Canis lupus familiaris: one gene and its partners. The protein of the gene in region 1 interacts with the protein of each later gene in a pairwise test. Links are inferred from orthologs where the notes say so. Each region holds a gene or a part of one and is shown on either strand. Other genes may lie near its edges. The genes, in order: CCDC102B, NTAQ1, HMG20B, LMO4, CCDC120, MAGOHB and CCHCR1.

Region 1 (3,500 bases):
CAGACACTTCATTCTCCAAAGGTAGGTTTATTGCTTGCAGTCTTAATGCAGATTTCAGTGTACAGTTTTCAGTACCACCATTCTTGAATGAATCAGGGCTGTTAAGATTCAGTTTCATCTCCTCATTTAACCTTAACTGGTCAATAATCAAATCTTCCTGAAAAGAAAAAAATATAAAACAACTATTGTTAATTTTTTAAATCTAGTGCAGAAAACACATGAAGAAAACATATTTTGGAGAGGAAATAAATATTATGATTCACCATCCAATTACTATTTTCATTTATCAGTCTGTAATTGAGACATATGACTGAACTTTAACTTGCATTCCTTAAGCCTTTTTTTTTTTCCTTCTATGTTCTACATTATAGTGAAATACATTTCAGTCTATGAAAACTTTTTTATTTACAATGGAATCTAGGTTATATCTACCATAAATCCCATACATAATAGAAAGGTTTAAATTTTTAGATTGAATCATAGAAGAGCAAGATATCATGCTCTATATTTTTAGAGGTGGAATTAGAAAGGAGTAACAATATAAACTGATATTATTTAAAGAAATAAAATGAATTCCTAAGGTTTCTGAAAGTATGTTCCATGGGTTGTTAATAGTATTTACCAGGTTAAAGAAAATGGATAAATAAGGTTACAAACTGCTATATTAGATAAAGCTTCTAAAAAGTTTATTTTGTGCAGAATTCTTAAAAACTTCAAGACTCTAAGAATATCAAGAAATTCCACGAGTGGATAATGTGAAGCATTTCCTAAAGGTATTTGCCTATAGTACCCATTTTACAGGAATTAATCATGAAGCCAAAGTCCCAAACCTTTGTATGAAACCTACTGTATGAACAATTTATTATTATTGTCATAATGAGGGTAAATGGAGAGAAATCTCTCTAAATATTTTCTTTTCACATAAAAATGCTAATTTTTGCTAAAAATATTACTAAGATCAGTAATATGGGCTGTTGAACTCTGTCTCTTCCCAAAAACTGGTATGTTGAAGTCTTAGCCTGCACCCAGTACCTTAGAATGATACTGAATTGGGTACAGTGTCTTTAAAGAAGTCATTAAGTTAAAATGAGGTTAATATGGTAGGCCTAGAGATAGTGTCTTTACAAGGAAATTTGAAGATAACCACACACAAAGAAAAGACCATGTGAAGACACAAGGAAAAGGTGGCCATCTGTAAGCCAAGAAGAGGCCTCAGAAGAAACCAAACCTGCTGACACCTTGATCTCACATTCCTAAACCTCTAGAACTATCAGAAAATAGATTTCTGTTGCTGAAGCCACCCAGATCTGTGGTACCTAGGTATGGCAGCCCAAGCAAGCAAATGCAGTCACCACTGGGTTTGTCATTTTCTCTTTCCTCCCCATTACTGTATACTGCATTCAAACCCACACATAATCTCTGGATTCCTCTGTGGAGCTTTTTTCTTACCTTACTGTATGTGTTGTCTTTTGTAGGAAATTCTCTTTTCACCAGATACTCTCTGATAGACTTACATGTTTGTGAAGCAATTTGAAATTGGTCTCCTTGTGCAGAGGACACTTCCATGAAGCTGGGATGCTTCAGGTCCTGGGTAGTTTCTAACACCTTTTGGTGTGGCAAACTCTGTTTCTTTTTCAATTCGCTCAATTCTTTCATTGTCATCTCTAATTTTATTCTGAGCTGTCTTCCTTCCTCCCTGGCACTGTTCCTTTCAGCCCGAACTTTGCTCCACTTTTCTCTCCAATTAGCAGTGCAGTCTGACCACCACCGCATGGTCTTCTCCATCTGGGCAGCTCTGGCCTTGACTTCTTCAAGCTCCCGCAGGCGAAGCTCTTCACAAATATTCCATTCATTGGTATTGCACGAGTGTGCACAGAAGTTGTGAGCAGCATGTGATTGCAGCCCCTGAAGTGGCAAACAGGAATGACAAGTGTCCCTAGGGGAGGAATCAGGGGCTACGATGTCACAAGGTGGTTTTACTGATGACTGCTGCATCTGGAAGATTTGTGTTTCTTCAATTAACCGATGGATGGAATCTAAATTCATATTTACCTTTTTGGGTCTAAAAAAAGAGAACATAATTAACATTTTAGTTTCCATTGCAATGGAATGAGCAAGACCTATATTACAAAAAGAAGGTGGATGAAAACAATATATCTTTCAATATTACATATTTTCTTTTCCACTATAACTAAAAATACAGAAGAACTTATGTATTTGTAATTATCCTCAAAGAAACAGAAATTGCTCATATTAAATTTGGCCAAATGAATACAAATAAAAATATAAAGATACAATCGGGAATAGCATATGACATGAATAATTCATTTTAGCAAATCCAATTCTTTTTAGGTAATATTTACTGTAATCTGTATTGTCCCTTAACTACTCAGGGATCCTCTTTTCCCTGCTAATTCAAGCACAACCCATTTAAGTGGAAGGCGGAATCTATTGATCTCCAGGTCCCTTTTCTAATCCCAGGGGCTAAATCCTAATTGGTCTAACTCTTTCATGGTGGCCTACATGTCATTGACCATGCATTAGCATAGGATCAGGTTCCGGCTGAGATTTGAGGGAAAATTTGTTGGGAAAGTTTCCCAACTATAAAACAAAAAAATCACAAAGTGAGAAACTCTTTCCCTCTGCTTTCTTCCTGCCTAAACAAAGACATGATTCTGGAAGAAGGCAAGTGTAACAGCCACCTGATAATACTTAAAATAATGGAACAGAAAGAGGAAAAGGGCTTGATTTAATGATTGAACTGTGGCATGAAATCTCTGGTTATCGTACCATGTGAGAATGGTTACCTAACTTTATTTAAGGTGTGATTGTTGAAGTTTCTGTCACTCCCAGTTCAAAGTGACATTAGATTGATACATGAATTACTTTCATCCCATGGTTAATATTATGATAAATTCTAAAAAAAAAAAATATTGTGAATAAGACATGGTTTTTGTCTTAAAGATTTTGGAGTTCAGTGGGAGACAAGCACATGAAAATTAAAAGTACATATTCACACTATAAAAGTATAGTTATTTACTCAATCAATCTTTTTTTAGTATATATTATGTGTCAAATCAGTGCTAGGTTGCTACGGTATGTAGGAAGCTCTGTAAGAAGCACTGCTCAAGGAGCGATGAACTGTCTCCTAGAAATGAAAAGACTTCCCAGCATAGATAACAATGTTATCAAAGTTTCATAGCTTTCATGTTATCATAGTTTCAAAGCTTTATAAAGGAATTACAAGCAGCTTCCCATATATATAACACAGACAAATTAATTGGTCAAAGCAGACCTACTTATCAGTATGTACACCCATTACTTTATTCAATATTGCAACATAGCCATATTGATGACAGCAAGTAGAATTTTTTTAATAAATGCTTAAAACATGCAGGTTAATCTATAAATTAATAAAGTTCTGAGGTCGTATAATATTACCCATTTTTATTATCAAATAAGATTTATTGGTATAAATAATATTTAATGTACATGACATT
Region 2 (4,258 bases), on another chromosome or scaffold:
CACAGGCCATTGAAGGGTTTGCCAAAGAAGTATGGGCAAGTGGCTGCCTGCAGGCTTCACAGGACTCTGGTTTCTGGGTTAAGAGGGCTGTAGGAAGGTTATTGCCAAATTTGGGCTGTAAGGTCACAGAGGAACTGGGTTTGAACCTGTGGCTGGGGCAGACCCCACAGGATGTACTCAGGATCACACTCCCAACTCTTGTACTGCTCTAGAAACTGCAAGGAGCTTCTTCCTCCAGCATACTTTACTCAGAAGGCTTAACTTGGTGCCCGCTTTGAAGGAGAAATGCTCAAAGTAATTGCTATTTATCACAGAGCCTATGTCGAAGTGTGTTCAGAGCTGAGAGGCAATGCCTTGATAACTGACACAACGACATATGCTCAAAGTGTTTAGGATTTACATATGGGCTTTCGAACTCCTGACATTGGGAAAGCCTGACTGCAGATAGCCTATGAACAGACTAAGAATTTAAGTTTTTATCATGGGAAGTACCCTGATGAGTTATGCATGCTCATTACTAGTCTAAGACAATTCAGAAGGCTATTAAGTATAAAGTGAGAGTCCTTCATATCATTCATTCATCAAAGATAAATACCGTTTTAATAATTTGGGGTCTTTCCTTCCAGGCTGCTGGCAAATAAAAATATGATTAACACGAAATGAATGCCATGAGGACTCCTTTTAAACTTTTAAAAACTTTACCAAGAATCACTATATTTTTCTGGGTCAACGTACACAATTCTAATAAAAACTTGTCACAGCGCGGTGAGCTTCGGGGTGGCTGGCCCCGGACGTATTTGGAATTCGGTCCCCCCTGCCCCTGCGCTCCCGCGGCCTCTAGGAAAAAACTGCTAAAGCTCCGTTTTTTACATACAAGGTTCTCTCATTTGGCGTCTCTTCTGGTTCCTCCACGGCTGTTGGCAACCCCAGACCCGGGCTGGAAGAGGGCCTCCGACGCCTCCGGGAGATCCCCGAAGCGCCATTTAGGGTTGGGCGGTTGACCAACCCCACGCTCTGCCCCCACTCCTCCGAGCGACCTGCGGGTGACCTCTGCCCTCTCCACGCTGACCTCAGTCTCGCGGGGCACGCCCGGCCCCGCCCCAGCCGCCCAGCTCCGCCCCAGGCCCCGCCCCCAGGAATTACGTCATCCTCCTCGCCCCAGGCCCCGCCCACTGGAGACCCACGCCGTTCGCCGCCCTGGATCCGCCCACTTGGCCCGGCCTCCACGCTCCCGGAACCCGCTCGGCGCTTCCCTCCAGGCCCCGCCCACCGGAACCGCCGGAGCCCGCGCGGCCCCCGGCTCCGTCCACCCGGAACTGGCACCGCCCTCCCTGGCGGCGCGCGCCCGGAAGCTGCGTCGCTCGCTCCACCCAGGCTCCGCCCGCCGGGTCCCTGGCTCCACCGCCCGGGAGGGAACTGCACCCCCGCCTCAGGCTCCGCCCGGGAGGCCCGCGCCGCGCGCCGAACGCCGGCTCCTCCCCCGAAGCCTGCCCGCGGGGCTGGTGCAGTCGCTTCGCCTCAGGCCGTGCCCGGGCCCCAGCCAGCCCGCCATGGAGGGGGATGTCCCCGCCGCCGCCGCCGCCCGCTACCAGCCGGCCAGCCCCCCGCGGGACGCCTGCGTCTACAACAGCTGCTACTGGTGAGGGGGCGCGGGCGCAGCCCCCGGCATCCCGGCTCCCGCGGTCTCGGCGTCGCGGCCGGGCCCCGCCTCTTCCCGGCCCCTCCCTGGGGGCGCTCTGGGTCTCGTCCGGCGAGGTTCCCGCGTGGGGGCTGAGGGAGCGGGAATGGCAGCCCTCGGCCCTTGAGAGGAGCGCAGGCACGGGGCGGGGGCGGATTCCCAGGGGGTGGGCTCGGTGGTGCATTACTAATGCCCGAAGCCTTTCGCTTGGACTTTTGTCGGCAGATCTCAGTGCCTGGGGGCCAGGAAAGGGGAGTTGGAGGCGGAGGGTGGAGCGCAGAGAACCGTTGCGGATTATCCTGCTGAAGCCTTTGTGGTTTCCCCACTGATGTGAAAGGTCATTTTAATTTTAGGAAGAGAATGGGAGAGCGGAGATTTTGCAGTAACTTTCCAAGGTCATCGGCTAATAGCAGCCAGGAATCCAATTCAGGCCTTCTTGTACCAGAAACCATGAGCTTAACCACCATGTTGTCCTGATCGTGCCCATTGTATTTACATAGCACTTGCTGTATGCCACTTGTTTGTTTGTTTTTTTTAAGATCTTATTTATTCGGGGGGGGGGGCAGGCTCCCTGCGGGCCCGATGTGGGACTCGATGGATGGATCCCAGAACTCCCGGCAACAACCACTGAGCCACCCAGGTGCCCCCCCAAACACTTTTTTTTTTTTAATTTTTTAAAAAATTTTATTTATTTATGATAGTCACAGAGAGAGAGAGAGGCAGAGACACAGGCAGAGGGAGAAGCAGGCTCCATGCACCGGGACCCCGACGTGGGACTCAATCCCGGGTCTCCAGGATCCGCCCCGGGCCAAAGGCAGGCGCCAAACCGCTGCGCCACCCAGGGATCCCTTTTTTTTTTTTTTTTTAAAGATTTATTTATTTATTCATGATAGACATAGAGAGAGAGGCAGAGACATAGGCAGAGGGAGAAGCAGGCTCCATGCAGGGAGCCCGACGTGGGGCTTGATCCCGGAACTTCGGGATCGCGCCCTGGGCCAAAGGCAGGCACTAAACCGCTGAGCCACCCAGGGATCCCCCCAAACACTGTTTTGATTGGCTTATGTAAACCAATTCATTTGAGCGGGGGTAGGTGTTATTGTTACCCCCGTTTTAAAGATGAGAACATCGAAGCACAGAGGGTGCAACTAATTTGCATAAGGCCATCCTGTCTAGTAAGTGAAGAAATGGGGATTTACCTGCAGGGTTTGGCTCTGGAGTCCACACACTATCCCCTTGGCCTAGGCCACCTGTGTGACCAAATCACCACTCCTACCTCTGTCTTTTTCGCTCGTACACTTGAGTAATTAATGACTTCTTCCCCAACTTTCAGTTGCAAAAGAAACCTTAGGCCCATCTAAAACTACCTTTTCCTCCTTTAGCTGGCGGTCAAACCATGTCACCAATTTACATCTGTTCCGCTCTGACTGCATGTCAGGGCTAGTGTCAAGTGTTTCCATCCATGGCTCCGAGATAGGTTCTGTCATTTACCTCATTTTATTAACGAAAAGAATGAGCCACAGACAAGCCATGTCCAAGGTCACACGTGTAGCAAGAGGCAGGGCTGAAATTGGAACTGTAGTACAGGAGTCCATGATTCTTAAAGACTGTACTTTAGTACTGCCTTACCTCTCACCTAAATCCTATTAGTTTTTGTCCCTAGCACCCATTCATTATTTTACTTGTTCATCTGATGTTTATTAGGCATGTGGACTGTGTGATATTACAATTGTGGGCACTTGGGAGACAGCAGAAAATAGATTCCCTAGTTAAGATCTTATGGTTCTTAATATTTTGGTTCAGGGAAAGCAGGCAAAACCACGTAAAACCATGTTTGGTGTTAAGTGCTATGAAAAAATAAAGGTAAGGGATGGTGACTCACTTTTATAATGGATATTTAGGGAAGGCGTTGTTGGTAAAGTGGTATTTGAGCAGAGATCTGAAGAAAAAAAAACCGGTGGGAGCTTTGTGGATATTGGAGGAAAATCATCCCAGGCAGGGGAGCAGTGGTGCAAAGGCTCTGAGAACGAAGTGTGCAGGAGTATTCTAGGAACAAGGTGGCTCGTACAGCGAGAGTGCAGTGGTCTGCTGGAAGAATGGTCGGAATGGATATCTCTTCAATAGATGGCCTCCCTTAATTAAGTTCCTTCAGCTGTGGGCTGAGCCCTCCTCGGCTGTCAGGGGCCTGTTCCAGCCCTTCCTTATAGGACTCTGCCCAGATCTGTTTCCTATTCCCTCAGGTCCTAAACCTTAACTGGCTTCACACTGCTAAAAGTCGTTCTAAATTCAAATGAGCCATAGAATCACTTGGGAGCTTGTAAAGTGTGCAGATCTTAGGGTTCTACTCCAGAGAGTCTTGGTGTGTAAACAGTACAGTGGAGGAGTCTTACACTCGTCCATTGATCACGTTTTCAGGAATATAGGCATAAACAGTAAAGTCTGTCTCCTGAGCATATTCAGAGATCTGGTCACTTGTGTTTCTGCAATCTTATTTTGAGCCTGCCTTCTATGCCCTAACCCAGGGTTTCTCACCCATGGCTTTATTGACATGTGGAACGTGCTAATGTTGTGGAGGGCTGTTCT
Region 3 (4,051 bases), on another chromosome or scaffold:
ATGGGGGGGTGGGGCAGCTACAACCCCTCTGGGACGTCCCTCAAGCTTGAGAGGGATTCCTCTGGCCGTCTGCATCGACGTCCTTTTAACAACATTCCCACCATGTGGCTGCCCCACGTCGGCTGGCACACTTGGAGGCCCGGCACTGCTTCCTCCCGTGAGAGCTGGCTCTGGCTCACCCAGGGTCTAAAGACCTCCAGACCTTTCTCACCCAGGCATGGTCCTAGGAGGAGGGGTACTTACCTTGTGTCCATTCAAGAGCGTATTCATGAGCCCAGAGCCCGAGTCCTCTGGTGGGGGAGGGAGGAGGGCAGGATCAGCCTGGCAGGGGCCCACACATTGCTTTGCAATGCAAGTGCTGTCCCCCCTGCCTGGGACCCCCCCCCCAGGTTAGCCCTACTTGTCCTGGGGCAGGCTCCTGTGAGGACCCCCAGTGTCTGTGTGCCCCCGCGTTGGCACTGCTCAGCCCTGTCCACCCACAGCTGTCTCGTCTTCATGGGACTGAGTCCCATGGAGGAGGGCAGGTCGGTCTGCCTGGGTCACCTGTCTCAGAGCCCGCACCCAGCTGCCTGGGGGCTGGGGCCCTTCCCACCTTTCTTGATCTTCTTTTCCTGGATCTTCTCCGTGCACATCTTGTAGGCTTCCGACTGCTGGTAGGCGCGCAGCTCCTTCATGTACTGCTGCTTCTCCCGCTCGGCCTCATCCAGGTACCGCTGGTGGGGGCAGAGGAAGGCTTGTCCCAGCCCAGGGGCAGGGGCGGCCGGCCTCCAAGGCCAACACCGCACCTTCCCACAGCTCCCTCCTTGGAGGTGAACCCGGCTCCTCGGCCTGCTGTGCGGGGCACCTTCCTCCCCCAAACTCTTGCCTTTAAAAGCCTCTCCCAGTTGTCTGAGGGCAGGCTCCCATCTCCAGGCTGGGCTGGGCTCCCACACCCATTTTGCTTGGTGAAATCCCACTTAGAGGGTGCAAACTGGTGGTGTGTTTTGTTTCCTATATTTTTGCAACTTTAATTAGCAGGATTTGAAAACCAAGAGCTATCACATAAAAATCCGGCCCCCACTCCTACTTCTTTAGACCTCTCCGTGTTGGTTATCAAGCTTTCCGTGGATTCCTGCTTATTGCGACCCTCCCCTCCTTCCGCCTGCTGGGGAGGGCTCAAGGGTGGTCAGTGCTCCCCGCGGAAGCCCTTTGGGGGATGTGGCCGCAGGGCAGTGTCCGAGTGGGCGGGGCAAGGTCAGTGGTCCCCACCTGCTTCTCCGCCGGCTGCAGCTTGCTCCACTCGGCACCCAGCATCTTGGTGATCTCGGGAAAGGGCAGATCCGGGTGGCGCGTGCGAATCTGCTCGCGCCGCTCGTTCAGGAAGCGCACGTAGCCGGTGACCGGTGCCTTGGGCCCATTTGGCAGGATCTTCTTCCGCTTCTTGCCCTTGGGCCAGCCGCGCTTCTTCACGGGCTGCAGAACAGTACCCACTCCGCGCCGTTGGGAGGGGCCTGGAGGGTTGGGGCGGGGCTAGAGGGCTGGGCGGGGCCTATCCTGGAAACCTGCAGGTATGGCTTGATCAAGGGCCAGAACTGGGAGAGGGCGGGTTTCGGGGAACGCCGGCCGCGCGGGTGACGGATCGGAGGTCCCGGGCGATCCCGGGCGCGGGGCATAAGGAGCCGGGTTGGGCCCAGCGACGGCGAGTGGGCGTGGCACCTGGCGTGGGCGTGGCTTCTCGCCGGAGGAAAGCCCCGCGGGACGACGGGAAGGTGCCTCCCACCGGACATTTGGCGGTGGGCGGGGCCTGGGCTCCGAGGCCGCGGACCTCCGGGGGCGTGGCACGCGGCACGGGGCGGGGCCTCAGCTTCGGGAGGAAAATCAGGACTGCGGGCGGGGCCGCAGCTAATTCAAATCCAGCCCGGGGTGGAGCTTCCAGGCGAGGGGCGAGCCCCAGGGCTGCCCCCACCACGGCGCAGGGACTCACCTCCTCCTCGTGGGACCCCTTCTCGCCGGCCCGGGGGCCCTCGCCGCGCTCCTGCTTGACGGCCACCACGAAGCCCCCGTGCGGTCCCGGAGCCTTGCCGCCCGCCGGCCTGGAGCCACGGGACGCCAGGGTCACCGCCGCCCTCACGTCCATCCCGACCGCGGAGCTGGCACAGAGGGGCCTGGGGCCCGGGGCCCGGGAGCAGGGCTCTGCGGGGGTCACTATCCGCGGGCCGGGACGGAAGCACGGGGGTGGGGGGCGGGAGAGACCCCCGGGAGGAACCGGGGCGGGGAGCTGGGGGCGTGCGGGGAGGTCCTGCCCGGCAGTGGGGGGAGTCAAGACCCGGGGGCGAGGGGCGAGGGGCGAGGGGCGACGAGCTCCGACAGGGAGGGCGGGGGCGGGGCTGCAGACCCGAGTGGGCTGGGGGAGGGGAGTCGCACTCACGCGGCGGCCGCGCCGGGCTGCTTGGAGCCGTGGGACATGGCCGCTCCCGGCCCCACCTGGAAGGCAGACGCGTGGCCGGGTGAGCGGCGCCCGAGCCGCCGACGGGCCGGGCCGGCGGGGGATCCCGGAATGCCGGGCCCGGGGTGTTTGGGGGGGCCGGATCCAGGGGCGGGGAGGCCCTCGAGGGCGGGCGCCCCAGGGATCCTTTGTTGGGCGATCGCCCCCCGGGAGGGCCGGGCCCACTCTCCCCCGGTCCGGGAGGGGCCCCTCCCCGGTCCCGGGACCCCCGCGCCCCCGCCCCCTCGCAGGGCCCCGAGTTCCGCGGCTGTTTTCACCTCCAAAGAAACTTTCCCGGACCTCTCGGCTGCTGCGACGCTCCAACCAACCGCCCCGAGCCCGCCCCTGCCGCTCGCCCCGCCCCCGGCATGCTAATGCGGCCTCCGCGAGCCGTCCGATTGGGTGCAGGCTTTCCCTGGGGCGTGGCCATGCAGATGAGGGTTGGCGCGCCGGCCGGCGATTGGCTGGGGCAGCCGCTGGGCCGCGTGGGAGGTGGACGGGGAAGGCCGCGGGCGGGTGCGTCAAGTTCGGCTGCGCTCGGCCGCTCTCGGGGCCAATCGGGGCGCCTTGGGGCCGCGCCGGGCGGAGCCCCTTAAAGGGCCAGTAGGGGCGGCGCGGACTCCTCCTCTCCCGGCCAAGGCGAGACTCCCCGCCCCAGCGGGATCCCGGGACCTGCCGGGCGAGATCGCGCCCCTCCCTGGTTGCCATGGAGACGGCGGCCGGTTGCTAGGGAAGGGGGTTAAGGTCCTTCCCCGCGGCGTGGCGGTCTCCCCCACCCCCCGCCCCAGGACGAGGTGGGACCTGTCTTCGTATCTCGCAAACCCGGCGGGGAAGTTACCCGCTAGTCCCTGAAGTTAGGGCCCCGGCGTCCCGCTGTGCCCAGCCCCGCAGTGCGCGGGCGGGGGCTGCTCTTCCCCCGGAGGCTCCGCTTTCCCTCCCGTGCAATGGGGACCTTGCACGATGTGCAGGACCAGGAGGCTGGGATGCCCGAAGCTGAGGCCCGGGGCTGGGACCCCGTGGAGATGGAGGGGCAGGAGGCTCTGCTCTGGGATCTGGGGGAGCCCCAGGCGGCAGCGTGGTCCTGTGGCCTGGGCTGGGACTTCCCCGACTCCCAGGATGACAGCTGCGGCCGCTGGATGCTCACGATGTCCCGTTAGTCCCCAAACAACTCTCCCACATCACCGCCCTGCCCTCCTCTGCCTTCTCCACCTCCTGATGCCCCTCACATACAAATAGGTCCCTTTCTCTCACTCCCGCCTCCAGGCTTTTGCACCTGGTGTGCCCTTTCCTCCAGATTATCCGCCTGGCTCATGGCTTGATCTCCTTCAGGTCTTTGCTGAAATGTCAGCTTCTCAATGAGGTTTCCCCCATACACCTTATTTGTTCCCCATGTGTTTGTTTCCTCTGCTACATAACAGTTTTGTTTTCAGTTTTATTTAAGTAAGCTCTACCCCCAACGTGGGCCCACCCAGAAATCAAGAGTCACATGCTCTATGACTGAGCCGGCCAGGCGCCCCCCAAAGAACAAAATTTTAACAGAATAAATTTGAAAATCTAAGTGGCTTTGTTGAGGGATTCATGGGTGGA
Region 4 (4,156 bases), on another chromosome or scaffold:
GCTTTGCACTTTCATGATAATTTCCACCAGAAAAATCTCTCTGGAACTTACTAATAATAATCAGACCTAATATTAGCCTCAGATCAGAGATTTATTAAACCTATTTGGCAGAGCAGATAAAGTTGAATGACTAGGTACTCAAGCATCTAGGCTGAGCTCGGGGCCCTGGAAAAAGACTCTCAGGCTAGCAGCACCCTAAAAGCATTCCTCAACAGTTAAATTTATACTAGACGTGACCTTTCTTCCTCCCCAGAGGCTGTGGGATGGTGAATGTTGCCATTCCTTGTTGCTGTCTGGGGGGGGAGGGGGGGGGGGACGGGGGGCTTGAGGAATCGGGCCTCTCCTCCTGCACAGCAGGGGTGGATGGAGGCCGAGCCCTCCTCCCTGAAGTTCCCCTGGACCCCCAAAGTCCGGGCTGTGAGCTCTTCAGCTCCGACTTCGGACGATCCCCTACGAGACGCCCACGGGGCTCTCGGCCGGCGCTCGGGCCCACGCGGGGGACCGGGGCCGGGCGGCCAAGTCCTGCAAGACCTGCGGACTCGGTCCCCACCTCCTCGCTCGCTCAACTTCCCACTAAGGGCTCATCCGTCTCCAACGCCCGCGAATTAAAGGCAGAAAAACAAAACCTCTTCTGCGTGCGAGCGAAGCCCCCCGCCCGGAGGTTTCGGGGAGACTCTTCCTCCCCAACAGGAGGGGACCCATTTTTGAGCAAGACGAGAAGTTTCCTGCGGGGCTCGCGCGGGCGCGCGGGGGGGGGGTCCCCGAGGGGCGCGCGGGTGCGGGTCCCCGCGATCGCCGGCGCGGGCAGGAGCGGCGCCCCCGGCCGCTCCATCCTGCCCCCCGCGGGAGGGGGTTGGGGTCCCGCCGGGGGTCCCGCGAGGGTCCCCGGGGCTCGGCCGCCCACCTGCCCCCGGCCGGGCCGTCTCCGCCCGCCGCCTCCCCCGCTCCCCCGCCCGCGGAGTCTCGTTCCAGTCCTCCCTTTGTCCTGCCCCGGATTGGCAGGTTTTATTATTCCGCCTGAACAACCCGGCCGCCCAGTGGCTGAGGGTCGCTGACGTCGGCGGCAGAGCCGGGGAGTAGTTGGGATTCGGCTCTGTCAGTAACACATGTGTAAGCGCCGCGCAGGGAGCGAGCGAGCCGGCTAGAGGCCAGCGCCGCCGCCGCCGCCGCCTCCTCCGAGCCGGGCGGCCGCCGCAGCAGCAGCAGCCCGGGCAGCGGCGCAGGCTCCAGCGCGCCGGGCCCGGCCGGCCGCAGCTCCCCGGCTCCCGGCCTCCGCGCCGGCCGCCGCCGCTCCGGGGCTCTGGTGCCCGCGGCCGCTCCCCGGCTGGAGGGGCAGGAAGCGCGGCCGAGCGCCCGCCGCCGGCCCCGAGCGAGCGAGCGGGCGAGCGAGCGGGCGGGCGGGCGCGCGGGAGGGAGGAAGGCGGAGGAGGAGGAGGAGGAGGAGGAGCGGGAGGCGCGCGGGCGGGGGCGGGGGCATATACAAAGTGAAGCCACATTGCCAAACTTGCAGCAGCGATTGCAGCAGTTGCTGCCGCTGCGCCGCGCCTGAAGCCGCGCCGCGCGGGCCGCGGGCTCCTGCAGCTGCTCGCGCGGAGCCGGAGCCGGAGGCGGAGGCGGAGGACGACGCGGAGGACTCAGCCTGACACTCCAGCTCCCGGCCGCCTGCCGCTTACGGCGGGGCCCCCCGACCCAGCCTCAGGGCGACGCGTTTAAAAAAAAAAAAAAAAAAAAAAAAAAAAAGCAGCCCTTAGCCCCCTCCTCCCCTTTCCTGCTTCTGCGAGAACATCCCCCCTCCCTCCAGCTCCGCCAGCCAAGGCGCCCCTTCCTTGGAAGCCGAGCGGCTTCGCTCGCTTTTCGCCGCCGCCGCCTCTCGCAGTATTGCAATATAGGGGAAAAGCAGGTAAGGGGACGGCTGGGGAGCCGCGGGCGAGGGGGGGCAGAGGGAGGAGGGGGCCGATGTGGGCCAGGGCTGTTTTCTTTGGCTTCCTTCCCTTGACCGTCCCAAATTGCAAGTAAACAATACGTCGGCTTGGATAATGCGCGAGTCTGAAACTACCGAGGCCGGCCTGCGAGCTAGCACGGAGGGCAGCCGGCCCCGGGCCGCCAGCTTTGTAGCGGTTCCTGCTTACAAAAGGGTTCTTCTTGGAGACGGGGCTGCTGGGGACCTGGGAGGGTGGGGAGGGGTGTGTGTGCGTGTGTGCGTGTGTGTGTGTGTGTGTGTGTGTGTGTGTGTGGTAGTGGGGGGGTATTTTCAGTTCCTAAGGGAAAGGCCGGAGGTGCTTAAATGAGGGTTTAAGTATGAGAAGTAGTGTGGGGGAAATAGTCACGACCCCCCCCCCCAGCCCCCCAGTAAACACTATTTTTGAAACAGTGGCAGAAAGGATCTAAGTGAGCAGGATTCAGTATTGCTGGTTCTTTTCAAAAATTCCTCTTGGCTTATAAGTCTTTTGTTCCAATCCAGGAGAAATCCGGTGAATCACCTAATTAAAATCAAGACATGAATTAAGCATCCATTTTTGTACTACAAATTGCCAGCGCTACGTTTGTCCCTCCCCTGGTCTCCATTAAAAAACACCAGAGACGTTGTTAAAGGGGGGCAGATTTTGCCTCTAGCTGCCAGTTCTGCTTTCTATTTCACTGACTATCCCAGGACCTAAATTGCTTGGCTATGTAATTACTAGAGTATAAGCCTATTTAACTTAAAAGCTTTCTTTTTTTTTTTTTTTTTTTTTTCCAACTCTAAATGAAACTTGATGAGGGCCCGTCCTTAGTTATCAGGGGAGTCAGTTTCTGGTCAGTCCTCTTGATTCATCTCTTTTAGATTTAATCAGCATTAAGGTATTGCTTGTCCTTAAGAGCTTTAGCTAATGGGGTTACTGGATGCTTTTCTCAGTGTAATGTTTCCTTTTCGAAAAAAATATACATATATATTTACCTCTCACCAAAGATGGGGGCGGGGAAGAGCTTGGAATCTCCTCCCTCCCTCTCCCCTTTTAAAAAGGAATTCGGAGCGATTAAAACGTTGGGGGAAACAGTTTAAAGACCTCGGGCAGGAAATGCAGATTCATTTGGGTTAGGGCTGAAATTGTAACAAAAAGCAATTCCTCGAGTAAATGCATCAGATAAATCAATTTACATAAAGGTATGATGCATTCGGATAAATGCAATGCTAATGGGTTTTAGAGTGGTCCTGTTTCCAAAGTCTCAGGGTTTTGTTACAGCTTAATTGGTGCAGTTCTTATTCTGGTTTATTGTGCGGTCACTGGACACACGTTCCGGGACTCTTTCGGAGGAAATGTGTTTAAAATCGGCCTATTTAAGGAACCCGAGTCCTTGTTTCGTTCCCTTCCCCTGGTTGTTTTTTTTTTTTTTTTTTTTTTTTTTTTTTGCAGCAGCCAAGTTGGGCCGGGGACAGGCAAAGTTCGCCCTCTCCCTTCTGAGGTATCAGCTGAATGTCTTGAGCAGATAGCCGGGAGCCTCGGGGGGAGCCTCCACTCTCGGCTTACAGAGGACAAAGACAAAACAGGCTGCTTAATTGGCAGTAAATAACTTGATCTTTTTATAGAATAAGTGACTGGAGGAACACTAGGACTTTATTGGACTCAGGATTGGAGGCAACAAATTAATCGGTTTAGGCTAAGCTTTATAAATTGATTCCTATATTATACCCCAGTTGCTTCTCGTGACATTCATTAGAAAGAGTGGGGAATTTTTTTAAAAGCAGTTTTTGGTGACAGCAGGACTGGCTCGAATATAACTTGTGCATCCCTTAATAGTGCCTTCTCGCATATTATCTGTAACGTCGCCCCCCCCCCCCCCCCACACACACACACTCCCCCCCCTTTGGAGGAACAAAGCTTTAGCATTTAAATTGCTGATCAAGGGCAGATTAGTGAGACCAAAGTGGAGAGTGTTTGTATAGGAAGTTAACAGGCATCCTAAAGTTCAATGATCTATTATTCTTGCCTGTGTCCTGAAAACCCAGAGAAAACACTCATTGATCTTCAAAATGAAATGAGATTTGGAACAATAATGGGAGATGGCGGTCACCACAATGGCATGTGAAAGGTGCTGTTTAAAATACGAAAAACCAGTTTCGCAACTTTACACACCGCACCCCCTCCCTCGCGTCCCCTGCCTCCCCTCCCACCACCTC
Region 5 (3,500 bases), on another chromosome or scaffold:
CACCCCCCCTCAGAGCCTAGGGCTGCAGGCTCGGAACTGCATTATTTCTGGCAAACCGCGTAGACATTCACACTGAGAGGGCTAAATCAAAGCTGTAACCCACCCCTTGGCAGTTTCAGGTCAGGTTTTACTGCCAGATTTTGGAAATAAGTATTGTTTTTGAGGGTTTGGGGGGTTCCAAATTGCTGATAGGGAATTGGAGGCCTGTACTGCCGCATTTTAGTGATTTCTAAGCTATCTGAGTTGGGCTTTGAGGAGCTAGAGGGTGACAGGGAATCTGCAGCCCAGACAGGTGGCTCAGCAATTGGTGCCACCCAAATCTGCCTACTTGGGGGCCCCATCCCCTCACCGCCCCCTCTCAACCAAACGCTCTTAGGGTTGGGCCCTCACCGCCTCCTGGAGACACACTTTGCGGAGCTCCTGAAGTTTCAGGCTCAGGGCCTCCTGTAAGGCCCGCTGCCGGTCGAGCAGCCCCCGCAAACGCTCTGACTTCACCTGGGGGGCAGCTTCTCCGAACAGGGCAGCTAGATACAGAGGGAGCAAAGTTCAGAGCAAAGATCGGCCAGGGTATCCTGGTGCAGCTGTGGGGCTGGGGACCAACCCTTTCCAAGTAGGCAGGTGGTGACTCAGAGCAGGGGAGGAGAGGCAGAGAGGAAGAACTGGTCACCTACCTGAGGCATTGAAGGTGGGAGAGCTGATCAGCTGACCTTTGACTTCCATCCTGGTGCTGTCGAGAGGCCGTGGCTGATGGCTGGACAAGGCCTGGCAGTGACGCATGGGAGCCATCAAGGGAGCATTCTGCATCCACTCCCCCCTGCCCCTACCGAACTTCCCGCGCCCCAGCTGGGAATGAGGTGTACCCTGACCCCACCCGCCTGATGGACCTGCCCTCTCAGAATCTGTATCAGCGCCTGGACCCACTGGGTCCTGGTACCTTGGTTCCCTTCCCATTGAATGGAAGCACAGCACACGGGGAGCTGGGCGGACTTACAACGCCTCCTCAGAGGCCCATGGGCCGCAGTCAGGAGTCTTGCCTAGGGAAGGAGAATTAACGGTACGGATTCAACCAACTGTAACAAGGATAGGCACCAATTAAGCACCTCGATCATGTAACAGCCACCTTCCATGCCACGCTGAATCTTCCTACCATCTTTTGATGGCAACTCTGGCATTATCGGCCTCCCATTTTCGAGATGAGAGCAGTAAGGCACAGAAGGGTGAATACCCTGCCCATGGCTAAGGGTGTAGCCCAGGCCCACCCCTCCAGCCTTATTCTCCTCCACTGGAGCAGTTCCAACCCCACCGATGCCCCAGGGCCCTTGCCCAGGCTATGGCTGCCATCTGGAGTGCTTTTTCCACACCATGCCTCTCCAACCCCTGGTTCTCACTTAGATTCTGGGGCTTAAATATCACTTCCAGAGGTGCGCCCCTACATATGGCCCCTCACAATGGCTGTCCAGCAAGAGACTGTGCTTCCCTTGCACGTTCTCTAGGACAAGAAACATACCTGTTTTGTTTTCAGGGTATCTCTGGCACTCAGAACACTTCTGAGCAAGCAGCAAGTGCTCAATGAATGGCTGTTACAGAAATGAAAGAATGCTAAGGTAGCCAAGCTGGGGATCTAGCGAGATGTGTGGATCTCTACTTGTCCCAACTTCATCCTGCAGCCCCGATGCAGCACGGGGAGTGTTCACTTAGTCCCAGGACCCCTCCAGCCCCTCTCCCCACCCCAATCCGTCCTGTACCCAGCACAGGGAAGTCACCCTGCTGGGACTGTGAGCAACAAAGTCCACAGCTGCAGATAACAAGCCTCCTGCCTCCTGCTTCCTTCTCTGCCCCCAGACACCCTGGCTGACCATAGAGCCTCCCTTGGCTGGCTGCCAGCCCTGCCCTCGTCCCCTCCTCTGGAGTTTGCTCCTTCCCTCCCACATCCTGCTCGGTCCCCAGCTGACATCACCTCCCACCACCTGGTGTGACCTTAGGTGGCAGGCAACTAGGAGGGCCTCATGAGGCCACAGAGGTCCCATCCCCTCCTAATCCCCAGCTTGTCATGCCATGGGGACCAGGTGTGGAGAAGACCCAGGCAGCTAAAGAAGTGTAAGTTCAAGCCCCTTCCCCATCTATCTACCAGGTGATGGGGCCAAGCTGCTAATATGCTGCCACCAGTCCTGCTACTGACTCCACAGAGTCTGTATGCCTCCCAAAAAACAGTGGCTCCCTGTACTCAACCTCAGGGTCAGGGGTCAGTCCCTAGAGCCTTTCTGCACATCCCTGCACTTCCCGGCAGCAATGTGCGCTTTGCAGATGCCCACACTCCAAGGTCTGATACTGCCCAGCGTGGCAGGGTTTCCTCGAGGTCCCAGCTCAGCCTCTTCAGCCCCTAAGCTCCTGGAGTTCCTTCTTCCCCAGCCCCTTTGAGTCTGAGGAACTCTCCCAGGGTTCCCCTAAACCTTCCTCCACCCTGACAGGAACTTCAACTCCTCCCCAGTGGGCCCATTCATTAGGATTGCTCCCACATCCGACGCTGGACTGCCTTGAGCCTTCCTTCCCTGAGAGCTCATGGCCCTGAAGTCAACACGGGGTCTAGACAGGAACCCCTACTCCACCCTGTCAGCCTGACCTCGGGGACATAGCTTAGGCCTGAGTCATGGGGTCACTGGGTAGGCTAGACACAGGGTCAACACCCCACACCCCCACACCCAGCTCCCAAACCTCTGCCTTTGACTCTCCTGCCCTCTCTGCATATTTGCCCCAGGGTTGAGAACTGCCTCATCCCCACCTGGAGACTGTGAGAAGGGGGATCCCAGCGGTCCCCTGCCATAACACTCCCCCACCCCAGCCCCCAAGTCCTGTCTTAGGATAGGCTGCAGCAGGAGAGCTGCAGAGGGTACCCCACACACACACCCAGAGGCGGGCCCAGCAGGTTTTTCAGGTCTGTCCTTCTGACACCACAGCCGAGAAAGAAATTCCTGGCTGTAATGACTGTTTACAACCAAGACACCTCACCTGGGTGGCACCCTAGCACCCTCAGTGGGACCCCCCCCCCCATTTCCATATCTTGCCACTATCAAGCCAAGTACAAACTCCCAATGTCTGGGACTGCTCCCTTCACTGACCTAGAGCCCTCCTCCCAAAACTCTGGGTGAACAGATGGGGGGCAGGCAGGTGTCGGGAAGTAGTTTCTCAATAGCCCAGTCTGGGCTTTCCCGAGGGGCTAGGTCCCAGGTTGCAGGAAGGCAGAGGCTACTCCCTAAGGGAGGAAGGGGGAGAGGAAGTAGGGGGGACAGTGGAGAAGGGGGGAATCTGGCTTCTCTTCTCCCCCATTCCTTCCCCTCGTTCATTTCCGGCAAGGAATCGGCTTCACGCCAGGAGAGGAAATTGGATGTTTTGGGCTTCGCTCCTCTACTCAGGCCCTCCTTCTTCACTGCACCCCTCACACAGACCTGGCTTTCTCCCACAGGAAGCCTCTGTATACCCTATACCCTTCTCCCCCGACCCTG
Region 6 (4,218 bases), on another chromosome or scaffold:
CATAAGATCAATGCTAGACCTGTAAACACTCAAATATTTGTTGGTAAAAAGTTGGCTAAAGGTGAAGCCAGTCATTTTCAAAACTTTCACGCCTTCAATAGATTTTTAAAGTATTTAACATAATTTTTAAATATTTCATGCCTTCAATATAATTCAATATAATAGAGGGGTCATTTTTAAGGCTCATTTGCCTAAGCTGTCATGAACTAAACAGGGACTCTGAAAAAGGAATTAACATTTTTTTTAAAGCCTATGTAATAGGTCTCTATTGGCCCTAAGTCATTTACCCAGAGCATTAGATCTAATCGGTAAAACAACCCTTAAAAGGTTTTATTCTCTCAACTATTCATAGTTGAGAAAACAGAGTTAAATAACTTGCCCAGGGTCACAAAGATTCAGTTCTAGGTCTACCTTCTTCCAATACTCCTGCTTTCCCCACTACTCCAAAGTGTTCTTTTAATTATCTCCTTCAAATTAATCTATGCATGGCAATGCTACTATTTAACACTGTGGCTAAGATACAAAACTATGTACTGCTTCTAGATAAAAGTCGGCCAGTTTGTTAGCTGACCTACACTTAACTTTAATCCATGACTTTTGTACTCCCTGATGCATGCTTCTCCTCATAGCTATAGTCAGTTGTTCATATACATATGTAATGTGGTCCTGATCTCTAAAATGATAGGTTACCCTAGTGCAGTGACCCTTGATCACTGAAGGAAGTATATGGAATGGTGTGGTGGCAGACAACTGGATGAAAACCACTGTTCTGGCATGAACTCTCCCTGATAAATGAGACTACTTAATTTATGTGACTAAACATGATCTAGGCAAGCTGAAAGCTGTTTACAGGCAAAAGCACTAAAAGGAGTATCACCTAAGAAAAGATTAGATGGAGAATTCAGGTAAATTTGGCTCCTTAGCTAAATTTAGAAGAGACATGGCAAGAACATAGGAGAATAGTGATTAAGGTTTCTGAACTGCAGGGCTGTAGTTACTTTGAGTTTCTTTTTATGTCTGATACTATTCCCCCTTCTCTAATATGTGATGATGCTTCTGTGCTTTATCTTTCACTCTCACAGAACTCTGTCCAAAGCATAACACATCATTTAATATCCACACTGTTTTATGGCTAGTTTTACATCTTTGTTACCCAAAGCAAAACTCCTTCAGAGAAGTTGAAGAGACTTGCTCATTATTGTACCCTCAATTTTTGTATTTTACATGTTGCCCAGCATATAACGGGCATTCAAAGACAGAAAAATCTATGCAGGTGGACTGTCCTGGTTCTAAGGAGAGTTCAATATACAATAACTCTCTAAAGAGAATCAGGGCTCTCAAAACATAAAATATGCTGCACCTACAAGGCAGCAGTTTCCACCTTATCCTTTGTTCATGCTGCTTCCCACGGTCTGAATGTTTGTTGTTGTTTTTCCCTCACAGGCCAAGAAAATAGCTATTCTCGAGATGCCTGGGTAGCTCAGCGGTTGTGCGTCGGCCTTCAGCTCAGGTCGTGATCCCGGAGTCCCGGGATCAAGTCCCACGTCGGGCTCCCTGCATGGAGCCTGCTTCTCCCTCTGCCTGTGTCTCTGCCTCTCTGTGTCTCTCATGAATAAATAAATAAAATCTTAAAAAAAAAAAAAAAAAGTCTATTCTCATTTCAAGACTCATCTTGAAAGAGGTTTTGGGCTACCTCCACCATGATCTCAAACGCACCTTTGCCCCTCATTTTTTTTTGGCATGTATTTTTGGCATTTTGGCATGTAGAGAGAGTGTTTGAGACTCTAGTCCATGGTCTCCTTGGTGCCGGCCTCTCTGAACTAAATTCCTTTCTTGTTTCACCAACAGTAGATTCTCTGCCTTTGGATGTTATCAGCGGCTGCGCCCCCAATCTGGTCTGTTTGGGAACCCCAGAATAGCCCTGCATACCAGCTACAATTTCAAACGTTACCTTCTCTAGGAAGCTTTCCTCGACGCCTACATGTAGCCCTAACCATTCCCCTCTTTTGTATTCTTAACGCATCCTATGGGAACAACTATATTTAATCACCCAAACCACATCATTATACCCATTCTTCCATACGTGGAGCTTCCTTCTTCAGAGTGGGTCTCATTCCTATTCCTAGACACGTGGCCTTACAGACAGCGCCTGAACGAATACAATGGTTGAATGGGGAGTCCGAGAATCACCGGTCCCCGAAAGATTTTAAGCATCCATTGGGCCAGTGCGTGGTGGGATGTTCTTTAAAATGTTCAAGGATGACGTCAAGTAAACTAGATGGCATTAGGGTCTCTTCCGGTGCGCTGAACGTGGGATTCTCATTATCCTATGTTCAAGTTTTCAGTACCTGGCAGGATTCGATTTTCTGAATTCATCTACACCCGTGAATTTTCTTTTATGCAGAGAACCAACTTCTGCTTCTGAAGAGTCTTCAGTTCGTATTTACTCCGGCTCTAGCCGTGACCTCGGCCCCCACGACAGACTCGCAAGCCCCCCGACGCTGGCTCACCGCACCCCGCCTCCTCCGAGTCCTCTCCGCCCCGCTTCCCCCAGCCGCGCATCGCGCTAGGCTGCGGCGGCGGCGGCGGCGGCGCCCCGCTCCGCTGCTCACCGTCTGGCCGAAACTCGAACTCCAGAAACTCGTGTCCAAACTTGCCCTTGTGCCCTACGTAGTAGCGCAGGTAGAAATCGCTGGCCATAGCCATGTTTGCGCCCCCTGAAGCCCGCCCAAGGCCTGGCCAACGTGCCGCCGGGCGCCTGGCAGCCACGTCATCGCGCGGGATAAATGCGTCACTGCGGGCGCGCCTTTCCGCTCCCGGGTCCCTGGAGGACCGTGGGGGGAGGCGGACTCTAGCTGCTCAGAGGCGCCCGGGCGATAGGAACTTTGCGTAATTAAGGTTGGAAGACCATTTCCCCCCCCCCCCCCAAATTAAGTAGCTCATATTGTATTGGCAAAACTAATAATGATTACTTATGGGTTTAGAATGAAGGTTTGCAAGTCGCTTTTCCTCCTCGAATCCCTAATCCTCGCGGCATCCCGTCCTCACGAGGTGGGTGTGGCCTCATTCCCCTTTAACTGGTGCAAAAAGAAACAGCCCGGAATCAGAATGGTAGACCCGGACTACCGGCCCTTTCCTGAAGTTAGCTTCTTCACCGGGGCTTTCCCCTTTGTACAATGATGGAACCTAGAATAGAGGCGAAGTAGAAAGAATCCATCAGACAAGAGGTCTGAAATTTGAAAAGCGCTTTGAAACTAAAAATCTCTGACATTTACCGTATTAAGAGAGTTCCTCTTAATAGTAAAACTTCCATCATTCAGTAAGGGTTGATCTTTGGTAGCCTGTGGAGTTTGGGGAATGTGACTTAAGATCAAATGGTTTAGCCCACATTTTTTTTTTTAATTTTATTTCTCCAGGGGGAGGGGCAGAGGTAGAAACAGACTCCCCGCTGAGCAGGGAGCCCAACTTGGGGCTGCATCCCGGACTTGAGGATCGTGACCTGAACAGTAGGCAGATGCCCAACTGGCTGAGTCACCCAGGCGCCCCAGCCCACGATTCTTACCAGAAAGAATTAAATTGGGGAGGTTAAAGTAGTGTCCCAGTATAGAATGGGTTTTGGAGGAAGTGGAAAGAAACTTTATACACAGTCTGCTTTTCGAATATTATTGATCACCCTTGTTTTTACCATCAGCGTAATTCTGTTGGGTGACCTTTAACCTTCAGCAGGATATAGAGGAAAGAGTGGCAGTCAGAAGACCTGGGATTCATTCCCATCACTTACCTCTACTAACCGTGGTTTGCTTAGTCACTGTTGACGCCTGTTTGTTCACCAACCGAGTGAATATCCTACAATCAACTTTGCCAAGCTCAGGAATTACTGAGAAGATCAAATGAGATAATAAATGTATAATAAGTTTTAAAATTTGTAAAACACATAATGACTTTAACATTTAGCATTTCTTATGTGCCAGAAATGGACAGACACTGGTAATAATAATAGACCCCTTTATACTGTTAGTCCAGAGAAGAAAGCAATCATGTAGACATGTATTAACACGAGGAGGCAAACCTTAAAAGAAAGAATATTTTTAGCTCTTTGAAGAAGATACAGGTGCAATAATAGCAGAACTTTGTACACCCAGCTTCAGCTCCTGACTCACTGCTGTTCCCTGTCCCAGAGGAACAAGTTCATCAGGGAGCCAAGCTGCAGCCATGGCT
Region 7 (3,500 bases), on another chromosome or scaffold:
TCCGAAAGAACCTGGAAGAAGGGAGCCAGCGGGAACTGGAAGAGATTAAGAGGCTGCACCAGGAGCAGGTGAATATGGGGGTGAGAAGGGTTCAGTTCCTGCTGGAGGAACTGGCCAGAAGCTTCCTAGCAAAGAGCAAGTTTCACAGAAAAGTCCCCATGACCAGTGGAGTAATAAGATGTCTGGGGAAGGTGAAAGACGAATTTGGGTGTTTTGGTCTTTGTTCAGTAGGAAGTACTTTGTGTTCCTGCTTCACTCAGGATACCCACTTCATGTGGGAGCATTGTAAGGGTGGTGAGGAGGGTGGGAGAGGTCTCCTGAGGTGGACTGGGGAAAGGAGAGGACTCATTCAGCAAGCATTTCTCAGTGCTACCTTTTGCCATCTGAGATCTGTGTGGGGACTCTGGGGTGGGCAAATCAGCCTGAGTCCTTGTGGGTGGAGCTGACACCCAACTGGGGGACTTGCACATTCAACACCTTATGTAATCCTAATTAATTAATTGCAATTGGGAGAAATGCCAGGAAGGAGAAGGACAGGAAGCCCTAATGTGGACAAGGGCATTAGGGGAGACCATCCTAACCAGTTGACATGTTAAGAAGTGAAACCATAAAGATACTGGAAGAAAACATGGGTGAATTCCTTTTTTTTTTTTTTTAAAGATTTTCTTTTTTTAAGTAATCTCTACACCCAAAATGACCCTGAGATCAGGAGTTGCATGCTCTATCTACTGACTGAGCCAGTCTGGTACCCCTGGTGAATTCCTTTATAACAGATTGGTGAAGGCTTTTCTACCTATGAGTTAAAATCCAGTCATTAAAGGAAAGATGGATACATTGGCTTTATAATTTTAAAATTAAGGATGTGTGGCGCAGCTGAAGGGACAGGTCACTTGACACACCCTCTCACTTGACTCTCTCCCTGTTCATCCCCCCCCAACTCCTGCCTCCTTACACAACGGATGGTACTTACCCACCAAAGATCTCTTGAAGAGTTACCCTATGTACCGGGAAAATAGTCCTGAACAAACACAATGACACAGTAAAAATGACAAAGTAAAATTAAAGAACAGATGATAAAAAATATTTACAGTTCATATCGTGAAAAAGGCTAATATCCCTAACATATACTCTGTGCCTAGAAGTTGATAAGGGAAAGGTAGCAATCTAGCCAGAAAATGGACACAGCAGGTAGTTTAAAAAAAAAAATGGCCTTTAGGTTTATGAAAGATGCATCTTGATAAGTTGTCATTTGAGCTGAATAGGAGTTGGCTGGTGAGCTGGCGACACTTGGCAGCCTGTGGGGCATAAGGAGGCCAGAGGGTCAAGGGGTATGAGTGTAGAAGAGGGGGGGTGCCCTGGATGGTGTACGCACGGGGAGTCCTTGGGGCCTGTTCAGAACTTTGTACTTTACCTTGAGAGCAGTGAGCTCTGTTTTTGTTATTTTAAGATTTTATTTATTCATGAGAGACACAGAGAGGCAGACACAGGCAGAGGGAGAAGCAGGCTCCATGCAAGGGAGCCTGATGTGGGACTCGATCCCGGGACTGAGCCAAAGGCAGCTGCTCAACCGCGGAGCCACCCAGGTGCCCTGATGAAAAATTTTTAAATAGACACTGTCTGTGTCTCTGCCTCTCTCTGTGTGTCTTGTGAATAAATAAATAATCTTAGGGGATCCCTGGGTGGCGCAGCGGTTTAGCGCCTGCCTTTGGCCCAGGGTGTGATCCTGGAGCCCCGGGATCAAGTCCCACGTCGGGCTCCCAGTGCATGGAGCCTGCTTCTCCCTCTGCCTGTGTCTCTGCCTCTCTCTCTCTCTCTATCTCTCTCTGTGTGTGACTATCATAAATAAATAAAAGTTTAAAAAATAAATAAATAAAGATTTAAATAAATAAATAATCTTAAAAAAATTTTTTTCATCTATTTGATAGAGAATGAATGGGGGGAGGGGAATACAGAGTGGGACAAGGAGACTCCCCACTGAGCACGGGGCCTGTCTCTAGCCCCAATATCATGACCCGAGTCAAAGTCTGACGCTTAACCAACTGAGCCACGCATGCGGCCCCTGCCCCAGAAGGCTTCTGAAGACTGGTCAGGAGTTTGTTGGTATTGTGCAGGCCAGAGAGGAGGGTGGCTTGCTAAGGTTGGAGACAGAAGTGAAGATACATTTAGTGGAGAGAGACCTGGCAGGGACCGCTGACAGAATGGCAGGTGGACGGAGGACAGTGGGGCACCAGGGACTGTCTCCATTTTGCCACGTTGTTTTCTAAGGTTATGGAAGGTGGGATTGCAAGGACAGGGTCTGAGCGGGAGTGGATTCAGAAAGTCCAGATGTGGGAGTGAGCTGGCCCCTCTGTGCCCTCTCTTCTCTCCACAGCTCTTGTCCTTGACACAGGCACACCAGGAGGCTCTTTCCAGTTTGACCAGCAAAGCTGAGGGCTTGGAGAAATCTCTGAATAGTCTGGAAACTAGGAGGGCAGGGGAAGCCAAGGAGCTGGCTGTGGCCCAGAGAGAGGCCGAGTTGCTACAGAAGCAGCTGAGGTAAAGTGGGGGTGGGCAGCAAATGGGATCCGGCAGGCGGGTGGATGTGGCGGGTCTCCAGGGTGCCTCACTGATGGCTGCCCGGTTCCCATCCCAACCCCAGCAAGACCGAAGAAGACTTAGAGGCACAAGTGACCTTGGTTGAGAATTTAAGGAGATATGTGGGGGAGCAAGTCCCTCCTGAGGTCCACAGCCAGACCTGGGAATCGGAGCGACAGGAGCTTCTAGAAACAGTGAAAGTGAGAGAGTGCGCCTCTGTGTGGGCTGGAGGTGGGGTGAGAAGGCTCAGGGATCAGATCCTGGGAGACGGGTGGCCCCTGAAAGCAGTTGCTGACAAGGGGTGGCATCAGGCTTGAGGGCCTGCAGAGCAGCCGCTCCCTCCTTTGCACTTCCTCCTGCAGCACTTGCGGGAGGACCGGGATGGCCTGCACACCACGGCGGAGCTGCTGCAGGTGCGTGTGCAGAGCCTCATGCACATTCTTGCCATGCAGGAGGAGGAGCTGACCAGGAAGGTAGGCCCCTTGCCTCCAGCAACTCCCCGAGGGTGGGAAGAGTTGCCGTGCTGCCAGAACCTTCTGGGACCTTCTCTTCAGTGAAGCCCTCTTCTTGCTGTGGCTCTTGTGGCTTGGGTGGGACAAAGAAAACAAAAAAACAAAGCCTGGGCGCACTTCTGGCCCTTCCTCCAACGCAGGTCCAGCCTGCAGACTCCCTGGAGCCCGAGTTCAGCAGGAAGTGCCAGGCCCTGCTGAAGCGCTGGCGGGAGAAGGTGTTTGCCCTCATGGTGCAGCTGAAGGCCCAAGAGCTGGAGCACAGAGGATGTGTGGCGCAGCTGAAGGGACAGGTCACTTGACACACCCTCTCACTTGACTCTCTCTCCCTGTTCGTCCCCCCACCAACTCCTGGCTCCTTACACAAGGGATGGTACTTACCCACCAAAGATCTCTTGAAGAGTTACCCTATGTACC

What was found.
Region 2: the proteins of CCDC102B (region 1) and NTAQ1 interact in binary tests that used the Homo sapiens proteins (3 or more experiments, as listed by UniProt). The two-hybrid records come from large-scale screens. The link is inferred for Canis lupus familiaris from reciprocal best matches to the Homo sapiens genes CCDC102B and NTAQ1.
Region 3: the proteins of CCDC102B (region 1) and HMG20B interact in binary tests that used the Homo sapiens proteins (3 or more experiments, as listed by UniProt). The two-hybrid records come from large-scale screens. The link is inferred for Canis lupus familiaris from reciprocal best matches to the Homo sapiens genes CCDC102B and HMG20B.
Region 4: the proteins of CCDC102B (region 1) and LMO4 interact in binary tests that used the Homo sapiens proteins (3 or more experiments, as listed by UniProt). The two-hybrid records come from large-scale screens. The link is inferred for Canis lupus familiaris from reciprocal best matches to the Homo sapiens genes CCDC102B and LMO4.
Region 5: the proteins of CCDC102B (region 1) and CCDC120 interact in binary tests that used the Homo sapiens proteins (3 or more experiments, as listed by UniProt). The link is inferred for Canis lupus familiaris from reciprocal best matches to the Homo sapiens genes CCDC102B and CCDC120.
Region 6: the proteins of CCDC102B (region 1) and MAGOHB interact in binary tests that used the Homo sapiens proteins (3 or more experiments, as listed by UniProt). The two-hybrid records come from large-scale screens. The link is inferred for Canis lupus familiaris from reciprocal best matches to the Homo sapiens genes CCDC102B and MAGOHB.
Region 7: the proteins of CCDC102B (region 1) and CCHCR1 interact in binary tests that used the Homo sapiens proteins (3 or more experiments, as listed by UniProt). The link is inferred for Canis lupus familiaris from reciprocal best matches to the Homo sapiens genes CCDC102B and CCHCR1.

Annotation. Positions count from the first base shown.
Region 1 is NC_049222.1:9,328,040-9,331,539, forward strand, and holds part of CCDC102B (coiled-coil domain-containing protein 102B), read right to left. Parts: intron 2,063-3,500; coding exon 1,450-2,062; intron 158-1,449; coding exon 1-157. UniProt on the Homo sapiens protein: During interphase, forms fibers at the proximal ends of centrioles to maintain centrosome cohesion. During mitosis, dissociates from the centrosome following phosphorylation to allow centrosome separation. Contributes to CROCC/rootletin filament formation.
Region 2 is NC_049234.1:22,155,276-22,159,533, forward strand, and holds the start of NTAQ1 (protein N-terminal glutamine amidohydrolase), read left to right. Parts: upstream 1-1,458; 5' UTR 1,459-1,550; coding exon 1,551-1,639; intron 1,640-4,258. UniProt on the Homo sapiens protein: Mediates the side-chain deamidation of N-terminal glutamine residues to glutamate, an important step in N-end rule pathway of protein degradation.
Region 3 is NC_049241.1:56,240,175-56,244,225, forward strand, and holds the start of HMG20B (SWI/SNF-related matrix-associated actin-dependent regulator of chromatin subfamily E member 1-related), read right to left. Parts: upstream 2,801-4,051; 5' UTR 2,743-2,800; intron 2,464-2,742; 5' UTR 2,446-2,463; coding exon 2,408-2,445; intron 2,073-2,407; coding exon 1,964-2,072; intron 1,453-1,963; coding exon 1,249-1,452; intron 714-1,248; coding exon 593-713; intron 291-592; coding exon 244-290; intron 1-243. UniProt on the Homo sapiens protein: Required for correct progression through G2 phase of the cell cycle and entry into mitosis. Required for RCOR1/CoREST mediated repression of neuronal specific gene promoters.
Region 4 is NC_049227.1:61,435,912-61,440,067, reverse strand, and holds the start of LMO4 (LIM domain transcription factor LMO4), read left to right. Parts: upstream 1-1,356; 5' UTR 1,357-1,900; intron 1,901-3,976; exon of another isoform or gene 3,977-4,068; intron 4,069-4,156. UniProt on the Homo sapiens protein: Transcription cofactor. Plays a role in establishing motor neuron identity, in concert with MNX1, acting, at least in part, to disrupt LDB1-LHX3 complexes thereby negatively modulating interneuron genes in motor neurons.
Region 5 is NC_049260.1:42,413,317-42,416,816, reverse strand, and holds part of CCDC120 (coiled-coil domain-containing protein 120), read right to left. Parts: intron 1,578-3,500; exon of another isoform or gene 1,508-1,577; intron 1,071-1,507; exon of another isoform or gene 1,035-1,070; 5' UTR 992-1,034; exon of another isoform or gene 935-991; intron 763-934; 5' UTR 721-762; coding exon 672-720; intron 525-671; coding exon 391-524; intron 1-390. UniProt on the Homo sapiens protein: Centriolar protein required for centriole subdistal appendage assembly and microtubule anchoring in interphase cells. Together with CCDC68, cooperate with subdistal appendage components ODF2, NIN and CEP170 for hierarchical subdistal appendage assembly.
Region 6 is NC_049248.1:11,017,109-11,021,326, forward strand, and holds the start of MAGOHB (protein mago nashi homolog 2), read right to left. Parts: upstream 2,801-4,218; 5' UTR 2,707-2,800; coding exon 2,613-2,706; intron 1-2,612. UniProt on the Homo sapiens protein: Required for pre-mRNA splicing as component of the spliceosome. Plays a redundant role with MAGOH in the exon junction complex and in the nonsense-mediated decay (NMD) pathway.
Region 7 is NC_049233.1:987,770-991,269, reverse strand, and holds part of CCHCR1 (coiled-coil alpha-helical rod protein 1), read left to right. Parts: coding exon 1-68; intron 69-2,371; coding exon 2,372-2,535; intron 2,536-2,638; coding exon 2,639-2,774; intron 2,775-2,936; coding exon 2,937-3,047; intron 3,048-3,226; coding exon 3,227-3,376; intron 3,377-3,500. UniProt on the Homo sapiens protein: May be a regulator of keratinocyte proliferation or differentiation.